2 linked regions of the Coturnix japonica genome follow. The protein of the gene in region 1 interacts with the protein of each later gene in a biochemical or structural test. Links are inferred from orthologs where the notes say so. Each region holds a gene or a part of one and is shown in the gene's direction. Other genes may lie near its edges.

What was found.
Region 2: the proteins of GJD2 (region 1) and LNX2 form a complex in vitro, tested with the Homo sapiens proteins (2 studies listed by BioGRID and IntAct, with this or other methods). The link is inferred for Coturnix japonica from reciprocal best matches to the Homo sapiens genes GJD2 and LNX2.

What each region holds. Positions count from the first base shown.
Region 1 is NC_029520.1:29,115,143-29,123,135, forward strand, and holds the start of GJD2 (gap junction delta-2 protein), read left to right. Parts: upstream 1-3,891; 5' UTR 3,892-4,361; coding exon 4,362-4,432; intron 4,433-4,897; coding exon 4,898-5,741; 3' UTR 5,742-7,993. UniProt on the Homo sapiens protein: One gap junction consists of a cluster of closely packed pairs of transmembrane channels, the connexons, through which materials of low MW diffuse from one cell to a neighboring cell.
Region 2 is NC_029516.1:157,603,700-157,611,130, forward strand, and holds part of LNX2 (ligand of Numb protein X 2), read left to right. Parts: intron 1-463; coding exon 464-610; intron 611-2,174; coding exon 2,175-2,352; intron 2,353-3,871; coding exon 3,872-4,103; intron 4,104-5,755; coding exon 5,756-5,914; intron 5,915-7,431.

The sequences.
Region 1 (7,993 bases):
AGATATAATCTGATGCAATCATTTCATTAATACACACATGGCATGAAATGAAAGCAGAGTGTAGCAGATGGCTGTGAGAGGTCTTAGATAGGCGTTTTCTGTTTAGTAGCTAACTACTTAGGTATTGAGGATTACACCAAATACTGTCAGAAAGAAAGCACTCATCACATTGGTCTTTGAAAGAAAATATTCCAGTTTTATAAAAGTAATGTAGGAATATCTCCCTTTTGTGACATTGGATGGAAAGTGCAATCACAAAGCTAATGTGGGGCAATAAAGATCCAGGGAGATTTATTCTGAGATAAAATATACGGAAAAAAATGAATCTATATCTTTAAAAGGGTGTAGTATTTGGGGGGTGCTTCTGTAAGATATGGATCTTGTTTTCACATGAATTAATCTCAACATAGAGAACAACAAGGTTGGAACACAATGATTCTATACATGATCTGACAGGTAGGCAGCGGCCAGCTGGCTGCTTTGCCCTGACCAAGTCATTCCATCAGCACTGGGGCTGCAGGGAGTCTGATACCAGAGCCAAATATGTCGGTGCAGGCCCTGTGTGGTCAGCCCTGTATTTGAGGAATGCATAGCCTGAGAGATTTGTTGGCCTCCCAGCCTTTTGCAAAACCAAATCAGGGCAAAAGGGCTGGATTTCTTAGAGAGAATCTGTCCTATCTCTTCTTAGAGACAGATTAACCTCAGTTTGGCATCTGAACTGAGGACACACACAGTCTCATTCTCCAAATCTAATCCAAGATCAGCTCCATCTGTATTATGTTAACATGAATTAATATTGAGGCAGAGCCATCTTTGAATACATGTGGAGGCTGGAGTTCTGATTTCATTTTGGAAAGGTTGTTTGAGCTCGGTTATTGTTTTGACTTTGGTATGGGGAGTTCTTTTTGCTGGTGTGAGGTTTGTGAGGGTTGTGTTATGAATGCTGAATTTAATCTGCAGACAAATAGTCATTCTCTTCAAATGCAGAGCAAACCAAATATAAATACATCCTCAGCTCCAAAGCCTGCACTTGGGAGTGTGAAGCCATCTTTATTTACTTTTTATACAGCTAACAAATATGTGGAACTGGACAGGACTGGCCCTGTTTTTTTCAGTAAGAAATGATTATTTGTAAGCCTTGAGCTTTGTATAATTTAAAGTGCTGATAATCCTGAGTGCTTGTGAATGTAATACGTGCGTGATTTTATAATGTGAATATCACACATGATGCAGATGCTTCAGTAGCATTCTTACTAGTCTACTCATCTGCAAATCATAGCTTTATCATGGACTGGAGTATTCAGGGAAACAACGAAAAATCTAATAACCCCAAGAAGCTGAAGATCTTCTTAAGTCTACTATTCAAACTTCAGATACTTTGTAATTTAGGTATTTGTCAGGTGTATGGAAAACTGGTAATCACAGCCTGAACCTCTACTTAATCAGCTGAGGCAAGTGTCGGGTCAGCTGTGGGTGCACAGGTGAGAGTAATTCAGCTGTGCTCCCGGAAGGGGTGAAGCTTGACTCCACCTTCCCTAGACTTCATTTAAGGGCTGACCACCATTAAGGCAGCATCTCTTTGAGGTTGCTTCTTTGTGGAGAGTGGGTAGTCAGCCTCAGCATTTTTCAGCCAGACTGAAAGCATCCATATTGGTAAGTTTTCCCTATGGATAACCTTTTGAATATCTATTACCATCTTTTCTATTATTCTACCTTACAGTCAGGCAAGTCCGTGGGTTGCTGTTGCCCATGTGGTGAATAAAGGGAATGTTAATAATTACTTTCCATTCACTTAAAATGTGTGTTAGCATCAAGAAACACTCAGATTGTAATTATTATCTTTTTGCCCACTTTCACAGAGATCTGAAGTCCACAAACAGTCAAGTGTAAAGACAAGCATCCAGTTTGTGAATAAGGTGATGATGTGGCATATGAAGCTACTGTTAGAAAAGGAAAGGTCAGCTGTTTTAGAATGAGTTACAACTCCCTGACCTGAAATATTTAACTTTAAAACACACATAAGCAAAGTATATTTCATATCAGCGTTTACATATCTGTAACATTCATTTACGTTACTTCCCCTTTATGTTTCTACAAGTGGGCTACCACCAATAAGTAGATCTCATAACAAAGAGCAAATACTGGTTAACTGATTACCAAAAGCTCAGTGTACGGTTTGATCAGAATTTGATTCCTGTTTGTTTACTGGTCATAAAAACTCAGATATGTATGTTTTCTATCCTGAGGCTACTTAACAGCTTCCCTTTGTAGAAATGCATATACTTGACTGTGGACCAAAATCTCCTCTGTGCTCTTCAGTAATTTCTGTCAAGGTCTTTCTCTCTCTGGTTCTCCAAATAGGATTATCATCATTAGCTTATTAGCATACTCCCTGCCCTCTCTCCTTCTGCACATGCATTACTGCTTCCTTTCTTGTTTTGATCTCTGTTGTTTTCAGATGCCTCTCCACAGAGATACTTTGTGGCCCTAATGAAAAACTTTATGGCTGATAGATACTGCAGTCCTTTTAAAACAAAAGGAACAACTTTTTTTTTTTTTTTCTTTCTTTATGTTGCTGCAGCAGCAGGTTTTACAAACACATGCACATACTGCAGGAGGTGTGAGTTTCAGGTTTAAAGAAGGATGTTGTCAGGATTTAAGGAAAAGCAATGGTGTTGGAAAGAAACAATCCAGATTACTTCTTAACATCCACTTGATTGGATAAGACAAAAAAATCTGAAATTTTCTCTGCAAATAGAGGCATTCATTGATCTTCTCATATTTGACATTTCCCCATTTCGAAGGCTTAAGGATCCAGTCAGGAAATGGACCCAGTAACATGAATCAGGGACCATATGCACACATCAAAGGAAAAGGCAAATTTTAAGGTGTCTGAAACACACCAGTGTCCTGTACATTGATGAAGCTTGGCTCCATATATTTAGAGAACGCTTCTCATCATTAGCACAACACATTTTTTTTCATGAGAGAGCTGCAAATTAAAGAGGACCATACTGTTTAGAGTGGCCTAAACCATTCTGCTTTGGAAGAAGACTGATTTTACTGAGTTTGGCAGCAGGAATGCTGATCAGATTGATTTGAATTTTTCTTATGTTCATTTTAATAAGATCAGTTGAGCAGGTAAAAAGCTATACTTTATGGAAATGTAGAGAACACACTTTAGGATTCACCACCAGGGAAGAGTCAATCCCAGCAGGTGTCAATGTTTGTCTGAAATTGTTTGATAGTGTCTCAAATACAGTCTCTAAGGGTTGCCATAAAATAAAAAAATATTTAAAACATATTGTAATGATTTTGGGGAATATGTAAATGTTTTATAATGAAGGGATGTCTTTATTCTCATGCTGTTTGGAGATGTTTTGAATGAAGGTTTGGTGTCTTTTCTTGCTTAAATCCAATCTCAGAATTCTCTGAAATGGCTATATATGTTCACTTCTTAGTGATTCTTGTATTATATTTGTGATCAGAGGAAAATTAAGGCACAGCTTTAAGACCAGTATCCCCCAAAGGTAAGCAGTTGTATTAGTTGAGATTGCTGCTGCATGACACTGCTGTTCTCTCAAGCCCGGGAACTCTCAGAGCCCCACAGCTCCCGACTCTGCAGTCAGGCACAGGGGCACAGCACCCCGGAGTAGCAGCCGCGGGCCAGTGCCGGTTCCCCGGGGTACTCTCCCTTGGGGTCCTACCCCAAAGGTGGGGAGGTGGCCGGAATGACCTGGCCGCGACCGGGAAGGGCTCTGGTCGGGCGACTAGCTGCTCGCTGGCGAGGGGAGCCTCGTGGCGGCTGGGCCAGCTCTTTCTCCGCCTCCCTCCTCCTCATTTATTTACTTCATTTGTTTTATCTCATTTATTTATTTATATTCACGGGAATAATAAAAAATGAGAAAATCCGAGCTCTGCTTTTGGCTGCTCTCCACCAACCTGTCAGTGACGCAAGCGGAGACTACTTAAAGGCAGATTAGAGGCAGCAAGACATTAAAAGCCAACCTTCCTCCCTCCTCGGCGCGGGTCCGCCGCGGCACGAGCTGAGTGGTCCGGGCCGGGCTCGGCCGCCGCGGGGCCCCGAATAGAGTCGGGCCGAGCCGAGAGTCCTCGGAAGGGCTGCCGCGTCCAGCTGCCTTTCTACTACCGGACTGCAGGCGGTAGAAGGGGGTTTCTCCCGTTTGTTTTTTTTATAATTTTTGTTGTTGCTGTTGTTGTATTTTTTTTTCTTTCTCCACCCCTTGCAACACAATAACAAAAAGAAAAAAAAAAAAAAAGTGGGGGGAAGAAGAAAGGGGTAGGAAGAAGTGAAGAGATCCCCTCCGCTTGCCAAAGTCTTTGTCTCCGGATGAACAGCGATGGGGGAATGGACTATTCTAGAGAGGCTACTGGAAGCTGCCGTGCAGCAGCACTCTACTATGATAGGGAGGTAAGGGCGACGGGGTGCTGAGGGGGGGAGCGCGGGGTTGCCCAGCTGCCGAGTCCTGGCGGTGCGAGCAGACTGCGCGGGGCTCCTGCCGTGCGCGCCTGGAGACTGCCTGTGTGCGGGCGGAGCGGGCACGGAGCCACGGCACAGGACGCGGAGACACGGCGCTCGGCCCGACCTCGAGGAGTAGGGGGGCTGCGGGCAGACACTGAGGGAATTCCGCCGCTACAGCGGTCCCGTAGCCGGAGCCCTTCCGCGCCTCTCTGCGCATTCTGCAGCTGAGGCCCTCGCGGTCGCTGTTGTTTCTCCCAGAGGGGCCGGGGCAGCTCCCAACAGGAGCTGGGGCTGGCGGCGAGGCACGGCCGCTCCCCGCCGCGCCGAGGCGATACCGCACCGGCTGCGGAGCTCCGGGACGATCAGCACTGGACAGCTCCCGGTCGCGCGCACTGACGGGCTTCTCTGTTCCAGGATCCTGCTGACCGTGGTGGTGATCTTCAGGATCCTCATTGTGGCCATTGTAGGGGAGACGGTGTACGATGACGAGCAAACTATGTTTGTCTGTAATACGCTGCAGCCAGGCTGCAACCAGGCTTGCTACGACCAGGCTTTCCCTATTTCTCACATAAGGTACTGGGTGTTCCAGATCATCATGGTGTGCACTCCCAGCCTGTGCTTCATAACATACTCTGTTCATCAGTCTGCTAAGCAGAGGGAACGGAGGTACTCCACTGTCTTCCTCACCTTGGAGAGAGACCAGGATTCAATGAAGCGTGAGGACAGTAAGAAAATCAAGAACACTATTGTCAATGGGGTGCTGCAGAACACTGAGAACTCCACCAAAGAGGCAGAACCAGACTGCTTAGAAGTGAAGGAGATCCCCAATCCTGCAATCAGAACTACAAAATCAAAGATGAGGAGGCAAGAAGGCATTTCTCGATTTTATATCATCCAAGTGGTCTTTCGAAATGCCCTAGAGATTGGATTCTTAGTGGGACAGTACTTTCTGTATGGATTCAATGTCCCTTCCATGTACGAATGTGACAGATACCCTTGCATTAAAGAAGTAGAGTGCTATGTCTCTAGACCCACTGAGAAGACTGTGTTCTTAGTGTTCATGTTTGCTGTCAGTGGCATTTGTGTGGTGCTCAATTTGGCAGAACTGAACCACCTGGGCTGGAGAAAGATCAAAATGGCAGTGAGAGGAGTACAGGCAAAAAGGAAATCCATATATGAAATCAGAAATAAGGACCTGCCAAGAATGAGCATGCCTAACTTTGGCAGGACTCAGTCAAGTGACTCAGCTTATGTGTGAGGCTGTGACAGAACTGAAACTTGGTGCCAGGTGGAACAGACCCAGACACTATTAGAGAAAGGTACATTGCTTAGGCAAGCATTTTATCAAACCACCAAGAAAGCCATTAAGGTATTGGATCTGCACTTACTGAACTAGCTGCAGAAATGCAGTGCTATGTAAAAGACTGAAAAACAAACAAACAAACAAACCACAAAACAGCTATAAAACCATGCTTGATCTAGCCTTACAGCTACTATTATTACTAATTTTCTTTCTAAAGATTGAATGCTATCTGTTGGTGGAGTGGCTTTTTGGTCATCATTAGGATGAGTTTACAGTTCGGACTGTCTGACTGATCTTTGTAAACATGTAGAATGTTCATATTAAAAATCTGCAAGGATACTCTATGTGGGGTGGGATGGGGTGGGGTAAACTGTTACAATGTGCAGATGTAAGCATGTTTTAAAAGGAGGGTAATTGCACTGTGACCACAGATCTATCAGGACATCTGCTTTCACCTATCTCAGATGTCTGATGTTATTTTGCTAGTCTGCATCACAGAGTTCTTCCTGGTGTGTATTACTAGCTATTTTCTAACATAGTTTGTGCATCATCTAGTTATGCTAAACAATAAATGCTGGATATAATTTTGCCATTTATTGTTTGCCTGTCCTCACACACCAGAGTCCTTAATCATCTTATTTTAGTTGTGATCTAAAAAATATAACAGCACATTTCAGTTCATTCCCTGATATGTGCATGAATAAGATGGAGTTGGTTCATGCTGGCCAAGTTACATACTTACCTACAGTTACCTACGGTGACATACATACCAAAGGAACAGAGTTCATTGCTTTTAACTGTGATTATATCACCTTCTCTCTGCTCTTATTTGTATAAGTGCCATACTTGAAACATCCAACTCTGTACTTAATCAGAAGGTTGTTTTGGAATACCAGTTGTAATAAAGTGATTTTATACTCTCCTTTATTTCTTTTATGCTATTTGTTTAGTCATTGCAGTGGTGTAAAAAGCAGCTAAAATCTCTATTCATAAATAAAGTATTTGCCTTTTTTTTTGTAAGCCAGAGAGGTTTGTTCTTCTTTATTATTGTATACAGTTGTGGAAATATACAAAGTCAAAATAATTGACTTATAAATACTCTTCAGGGTTTAAAGTGTCTTGTTTATATTCTGAACTCTAAGTGACAAAACCTGGGAAATCAAGACTATTCATTATGTCCGTTTTCCTCTTAAGCAATAATTTTCTGTCTTTAAAGCCTGATCCAAAGCCCACTGACACCAACAGCCTTCACTCTGCTGACACTAAGGGCAACACAGTTGGCTGCCAAGGTCACTCTGGAAATAGCAGGGTGTGTTTACCTTGAAAATGAAACAATTGCAGCTTTTCATCAGGGAATAGTAACCTCAGCTTTTCTGCTTTACAGCTGATTCAAGAAAGACACTGTTCCTGTCCCCTCGACTTACTGGTAAGCCACTGGGGCAGTCAGAAAGAAATCTCTATTAATAGCAATGATTTTAATATAGGGTACAAAGATTTGCTTACGGACCATACCTAATTCCCAACGACTTTGACAGAGGGTATCTCACTGGCAACAGTAGGACTTGGATCAGGATTCAAAAACCATAAGATTTCATTCTTAACTAAGTGTTATCTGCACTTTAAAGAAAAGTGCCCAAATGGTGATGGAAAAATTGGGGATACTTTATAATGCATGAAGGAGATGAGGGTTTAGAGCTACAAATGGCCTTTTGATTGTATTTTATTTCAAGCCTGACTATGGATTTTATTATACTTTGTCCTGGAGATAGTGCATATAGATCTTTTCTTTATGGATTACAGTAAATATTTCAACATTTAATTCTTTTTGCTTGCCAGTGTTGAAAACAACAACAGCAACAAAAAACCCTCGCACACAATAAAAACCAAACCACAGAAGTCATTAGCTGTTAGATAGTGTATTCATTATCATTTTCGCTTATAGGCTTTTTTCTTCCAAAGTGAAAAAAAAATACTTTGAAATGTGTCATGTTTTTAAAGATTTTAAAAATCTTTTTCCTTATGTAAAAAAATAAATTTTTTACAGTTTGATTATAGAAGATCATAAAATGGACTTATCAAATGATTCTGTGCAGTATAAATGCTCACTGATATTGCTAGTTGACTGCATGTTCACTGGAAAACTGCCGGTTATTTTTAGAAAGGCAACATGGCAGCTAAAATCTCCATCTGCAATATAACAAGCTTCT
Region 2 (7,431 bases), on another chromosome or scaffold:
AATCTGCAGATCCCAGGTTGATCATGAGCTGAAACCAGGCTCCACCCATTTAGAATCATAGAATTACCCAGGTTGGAAAAGATCTTGAAGATCATCAAGTCCAACCGCAGCCGAACCAGTACCCAAACTCTAAAAACCCTACACTAAATCATATCCCTGAATACCACATCCATACGGCTCTTAAACACAACCAGGGATGGCGATTCAACCACCTCCCTGGGGAGCCTATTCCAGTACCTAACTACCCTTTCTAGTACCTAACTACCCTTTCTTTTTCCTGTGAAGCGGATGTAACATCAGAAGTAAAGGAATGCTGGTATCCCCTCTAATCCAGGGGGAATTGCAGCAAGAAGACTGAGAAGTTTGCGGCACCTCTGGGAGCTGGAAAAACAAGTTCTGCTGACTTATTATTTCATTATGTCTATCCTACAGACTTCTTTATTTTGTTTTATATATTTGACAGGCTAGTGGGGAGAGAGTGAATTTGATCATCTCTAGACCCATGAAGTCGCAGACGGTCAGTATTATCCGAGACACGGGGACTCACAACAGCAACCCACACCAACACCAGTCCCAGCAGCTGTTTCACTGCAGACCCAACTCACATAAGGTTGGTGGCATTCAAGAGTGTTTGTGTTTCTACCACTGTGCTGACTGCAACCAGCAAGGACAGGACATGCAGTGTTTAGTACACAGCATATAAAGGTCTTGTTGAAGGATGTGTTCTCTCCTCCATGAGCCAGCAGTGCTGACTGCCAGACTACAGAATGGGAGAGAAAGGCAGAATGAAGAGATTTTCACAAAGCTAGTATCAGATTATCTGTAAGACTGTGCTTGAGTTCTAACTACTTCCTCTTGTTAAACCAATATGACATCTTACTATTCAGATTCTGTGAAGTAATTGCCCTGTTGACCATGCCAGTCAATCCACCTTTCCTCCCATCCAGTCTTTTAGCATCAGTGTCTAATGTCACCCTTCTACTGGGAGGATTTACATGTGTTGGTAGTATTTTCTTTTAAAGGTTGAGTTACTATCTTTATTTCTCTCTTATTAATCTGTAGTTGGCATAGAAGTCTTTTGTCTTAATACAAAGTTTATGTAATTGTGTGGCACCTGCCAGTTAGGCCTGAAGACTTAAGGAGGAGCTGTCTTCAGAAGCTATGAGTTGTATATTATGTGATTAACATGAACGTGCAAGGAGCAGAATCAGAAGAGGCGTGTGGCGTTGAAAGTAAAGGAAAGCAGCGCTTCCTTTTTCTAATAGAAAGCAGGGGAATAAAGAAGTGTTTGTACTTGGAAGAATCTTCCAGGTTATTTCTTCCATTATTTTGGATTCTTTCTGAGCATTTTGTTGATTTAAGATGTTATTGCAGGTGTGTGTGCAGTGATTTCAGTGTATCGCTAAATAAACCGAAAAGGAAAGTTTTGAGCAAGTGAAATAAACTTTGATTCATGTCTAAATCCTTAGATAGGGAAAACTAAATATGCGCTAAACTTTAGAATTCATGTGTTAGGAAATGAAATATTCTTGTTTTGATTCAGGTTTGGGGTATCATTATGGTTATTAGGGAGCCTGCACAAAGCTTCTATTAGCAGCCACATATAAGCATTATTGACTTTAGCTACTCTGTGCTCCGAGAGAGGCTGCATACCAGATGTAAAAACAAACATGACATAGGAGGTTTTAAATGGCCTCTCTGTGTGACTGTGAATACATGTGTTTTCATTTCTTATGGGGCTTCTTTGTAGTTGCAGGCCATGTTCTTACTTGTGAGTGAGGTAATGCTGATGTTCACTAAGACATCAAAAGATTTGCTTCTGTTTGGTTTCTTGACTTTTGGCCATATGATTTCATAGCACAGTCTTAAAATATAGCCTATTCCTGTGTAAGAGCTAAAAGAAACTTGAGTGAGATTTTCAAGGATGGCCTTCGTCAACTTTCTGTCTACACTTCAGCATCTACATCAGTAGCTTTTTATTTTTTTCTGACCTGGAGGAAATCCAACTAAAGCCAATTTGCGGTACAGACTTTTTCCTTTAAACCATTCTGTTAAAGCACCAAAGCACAGCTTTGAGGTGCCCTTAGTTGCGTTCTGTTCTGTTTGGGTTTTTTGGTGTGTGTTGGGTTTTGTTTTTCAGAGCTTTAACTACATTGTTTATTCTTGTCAAACAGGACCTCTCCCAGTGTGTTACATGCCAAGAAAAGCACATTACTGTGAAAAAAGAGCCACATGAATCTCTTGGAATGACAGTGGCAGGAGGCAGAGGCAGCAAAAGTGGCGAGTTGCCCATTTTCGTGACAAGCGTACAGCCCCATGGGTGTTTGGCAAGAGATGGCAGGATTAAACGAGGTAGGGCTTGGCTTTCCTGGTGCCATGGATGACCTCCAATTGTTTTTTGATGAGTACATTCACTGAAATCACGGGGTGTCATAAAACCTTTTAACGAATGTAACAAAGCAATGATGGATGTTTGTGTTTCAGTAGTGGAAATACAGTATTTAGTATCACACTTCCACCTTTTCTAGGAAAGGGATGTTTAGAGAATGATAGCGGGGAAGTGGATGAGATCAGGAAATGTCTGGTTACATTCTTTACAGCTGACTGTAATCCCCTGAGCTGAGTGTCTCATGTGATGGTTTGTACTTTAGTGCACGCATCCTGTTTTTGTGTTTCATTTGGTGGGGTGGGCTCCTTTTCTGCTGGAGGAATCCTCCCTGTAATATCTGAACAGCTCACGTGTTCCTGATGACAAGTAACCTACGTGGAGATTACCCTCAAGGCTTCATCTGTAGTGACCATAGAACCTAAACGTTACCTTGTCCTTTGTCCAGCACAGCCTGGTTTTGCTGTTTTTCAGGTGTGCTGCAACAACCACCCCTGTTCCTCAGCTTTGCATAAGGATACAGGGAATGTGGATACAAAGGTTAGACACAGGATAGGAGAGCACAGTCCTTACTGATTAGCAGCTAAGCATTGGTGATTAGAATGTATTGTGCCATATGTGAAACAAACACCGTGTATGGGACCTTGGCAATTCAGAATTCACAGGATTTCAAATTGTTTTAGGAACTAAATTTAGAAGGAGGGGGGGCAGAACTTCAGAAATTGAAACTGAAAAATGACTGCATGGGAACCTCCTTCTGTGCTTCTGAGATGGGGAGATTTACACCCACATACCACAGTATGCTCATGTGAAAAATACAACTGGTGGAAGAATCACAATGATAGTTTTGTCCCGTAATAATAAAGGAGCCACAAAAATGGTTTTAAGTTGTGCTTCACCTCATCTTTAGCTTTCCTTGGGAGGCAAAAGCTTTTAAGAAATGAGTCTCATTCCAAATGTGGCTCAGGTGTTCACATGTTTGCTTTGTTTTTCCTGGCTTTCATCAGAAAGTGAGACACTGTGTGGAGGAGGAGACTCTTACAGCTTGAACAGTAAATTACATTTTTGTTTTCACCCTGAGGCATTCTGATATTACTCTGAAATAAAATAAAAACTGTGGCTATTTTTTTACTGTCTTGGACTCTTTCCAGATTATTACCTTTGCACAGATGCTCATTTTTCCTTCTGACGGATTGGATTTTGCACCAGCCTTTCCAGTTGTTTTTGTATTCATTTTTTGTTCTCCTAAACTGCAAACTCAGAAAAACCAAAACCTAAAAAGCTCTGTGGAGCTTCACTTGTCTATAAGATATAGTTGTGGTGCCTGAATTGTAGCTAATTGAGCTAATGTTGCTATTCACATTCCCAAGTTGTTTGTTCAGATTGTCTTGGCTCCAGAAGATTACAGTATGAGGTGAAATCCTGATCAGAGAGGTACTATAGATCATGACAGGCTGTTGTGTTCTTATTTGTGCCTCTAAACAGGTGATGTGTTGCTGAACATCAATGGCATCGATCTGACTAACCTCAGTCACAGTGAGGCGGTGGCCATGCTGAAAGCCAGTGCTGCCTCCTCGGTAGTTGCCCTGAAAGCATTGGAAGTCCAGATCGTAGAAGAACAACCCCAGGCCAATGAAGAACAGTTGAGTACCATCAGTGAAAATGAATACGATGCCAGTTGGTCACCATCATGGGTCATGTGGCTGGGACTCCCAAGGTACTGAATTAATTAATACAGTAATTAGTTATCTGTTTTAAACTTAAGTCGGAGAGAAATACAAAAGCGGAGACATTACTAGCTGCAACACGTCTGCCTTTATTTCTGCCTGCCTAACCAGTTCAATTGTACTCTATTTGCATTGTGCTCATGATGAGGACCATGAACAGGAGCAGTGTTCTCTTAGGAAACTGGGAGGTGAAGAGACTCAGTTTATCCCTTCAAAAACAATAGTAGCTACTCACATGAATTCTTCTCATTTAATAAAACTCATCTTTTCCATTGCTTAACTGTATCATAGTTTCCAGTAGAGTATCTAAAATCAGAGAGATAATTAATAACAACACAAAGTATTTATCCATATGTCTTTGTGATGGTTTACTACATAAATTTACAAGGAAAAACATACAACTTTGGAATATTGGATCAGACTTTCCATTCTCATACTTTTAACATAAATCTCTTCCACACGAGCCTGGAGTTACAAATCCTCATTTATTTCTTTTCAAAAACCCACTTACCGTCTCTGCCAAACACGAAATCTCTTCCAGGTTTGCAGCTCCCTCCCCATTCCTAATCTGCAGTCTGCTTGACATCATCGTGCTTCATTTTTACTGTTCTGTTTTTCAGTTTCTTGTGGCTTCATTCTGGCATTGCTCACAAGGAGAGCTCGCACTACAGTGACTAGTGCGGGTAACTTCAGGCAGTGTTCAGGCTACTTCCTCTCCTACTGATGGACTTAACCAAGCTCGGGCCTGTAGTTGAAGTATAAAATAACAAAAATAAACAAGCATACTGGTGGCAAAATATGTCTGCAGATAACAAATATGTCTGAATATAACAGAACTATGAGTTATCCAGTGTGTCAATAAACTGCTTTCAGCTTTGGAAATGTACTTACTTTCCATGCCTTAGTAGTGATTTACTCCTTAAATACTATGGAAGATGATGTGTTGCTCCCATGTTACTCATTCTGCTGCTTCTCTTTAAAGAGTATTGTATATCAGTGAAGAACTTTGCATCATTATTGCCTGGAAGTTAATTTCTAGGGTTTTTTGTTTGTTTCTTTGCTTGTTTTAATTACGGTCACTATTTCACTGGCAAGAATTAATTTTCATGAAGGAAGTTATTACATACACCAGTACAGTTAGTGGAGCATGATCTGGATTGTTTACCTGCCACATATCAAAATGGTTAATCATTGGTGTTTTCATTACTGATGGTGAATCAGTTCAGAGGTAGAGAAGGTCACACATGAACTACCAAATCTGTACTTAAAGTAGGAAGATGTCTAAACCGACTGGAGGTGGAAGAAACATGCACTTCATTTTTGACTTGCAAAGTAAATAGGTTGGATATACGTTTTCCACCCACATTCTCACCACCTGTGAAATCCTTATAATGCCATTTTAGTACTGTCAGTTTACAGAGTTAAGTAATTATTCTAGCTTTGCATTATTCCTTTTTAAACATATTTATGTCTGAAAAATGTGGATTTTTTTTTGCAATCAGTTTGGATATTGCAAAATTACCCTGTCCGTGGGCAGCATAGCAGCGCTGATGTGAGAGAGCAGGTGTTGTTCCTGGTACAGAAACACCTACACGTGGTACACACAGCTTTTCTCTTGCTGTCCTGTGCTTCCATTCCACAGCTGCCTGCATAGCTGTCACGATGTAGTGCTGCGACGGAGCAATTTGGGAAGCTGGGGTTTCAGCATTGTCGGTGGCTATGAGGAGAACCACACAAACCAGCCTTTCTTCATTAAAACCATTGTCCTTGGAACTCCCGCGTACTTTGATGGAAGATTAAAGTAAGTTAAAACATAAGTAATAGTAATCATCAACAGTTGAAAATAAGCACATGCTAGTGCAAGTAAAAGCTTCATGAACGGTAGGGTAGCACCTGGTGCAGCCCATTGGTTTTATCCTTTCATAAAGCTTACTGAAACCACTGCTGAAAACCCTGGTACTAAAAAGCGATGTTGCTGCTTTAATATAAAGGTGCGAAAGTAGATGAAAAAGTCAGTATCTCTGAAGATATCATCAAGGAACAGTGCCCTGATTTTTTGGCTGGCAGGAAAGGCATGGATAAATGGAGTGAGTTCAGCAGAGGCCGCTAAGGTGGTGTACCCTTGTGTGGCCTTAAAGATTAAATGATTCTACTTACACTCTACACTTGGATGTAATTTCCAGATCTACTTTTCATACTATGCATTTGCATAATGTAGGATTATTTCAGAATTAGGATTTAAAATTCCTACTAAAGAGTCTCTTGTTCATAAACGGATATCTTTTGTAAAGGTGGAGTGAAAAATATGCCCTGGATTTGTGAACATTATGTGGCTTGAAGTTTTATGACGTGATTTTTACATGTTAGATTTACTTACATGGTAACCTAAGAAAAACGCGTGCTTATGCGTAGAGCCTTGCCAGTAATTGATTTTTTGGCTCAATGACTAAATAAATAAATGAAAAAAAAAATAGTTTGGTTTAACACAAAATTACATATTTTTTTTTGGCCAACTATGAAACCAGTTTGGATTAAATGAAAGATTTCAGTTCAGTCTAAAGTAAATAATTTCAGATTGGGAAATTAATGACTATAAGTCTTAACACAGATGGAAATGTAAGCATCATTCTTAAGAAGGGAAGAGTGCTTGTGGTCGTGCTTACTCCTTGTAAGGAATAGAAAAGGTTCTCTTCTGTGATACTGAGATGCAGTAAGTACCCTGTGCTCACATCCATTCTCTTACTGAGACTATGGACTTAAAAATGGTTCTCTACCATCAACAAATGAGAGCTCCTTAGAACATGCATAGTGTATTATCATGGGACCACTCTTTTTAAGCTGTTCCATTTGGTTTAAATTATCTGAATTTTTTGTTAGGCTAGAGAGAAAGCTGGGAAGGAAAACAACGCAGTCCGGTAATTAAGACTGTTTTCTGCCTACATTATCTGGCAGGTATGACTTTATAGAAGATAGGAAAGCCCTATAGAAAAAGGAAAACCTTTTTGCCATCCACAGTGATGCACCCAATAGCTGGAAGGATTAGTTACATTAGGAAAGTCCTGTTCAGTCTCCAGCATCACATATCAGTGCTCTGAGGAATCCCAAATAGACTCAAGTTGAAATCCAGTGATCTGAGAATTTCCCAGATTAATGTCATTACTTAAACAGATAAAAATTGAACCCTTATTTTGTTTGATGTTTTATTTTTTTAGCTACAGTTCAAACCTCGTGGAAACGCCTCTCCAAAGATAAAGTGCTGTTTGCTGGCGTGTGACAGTTACAGCAGAGCAGCACTCATCACTGGGTTTTCTTCTTGTG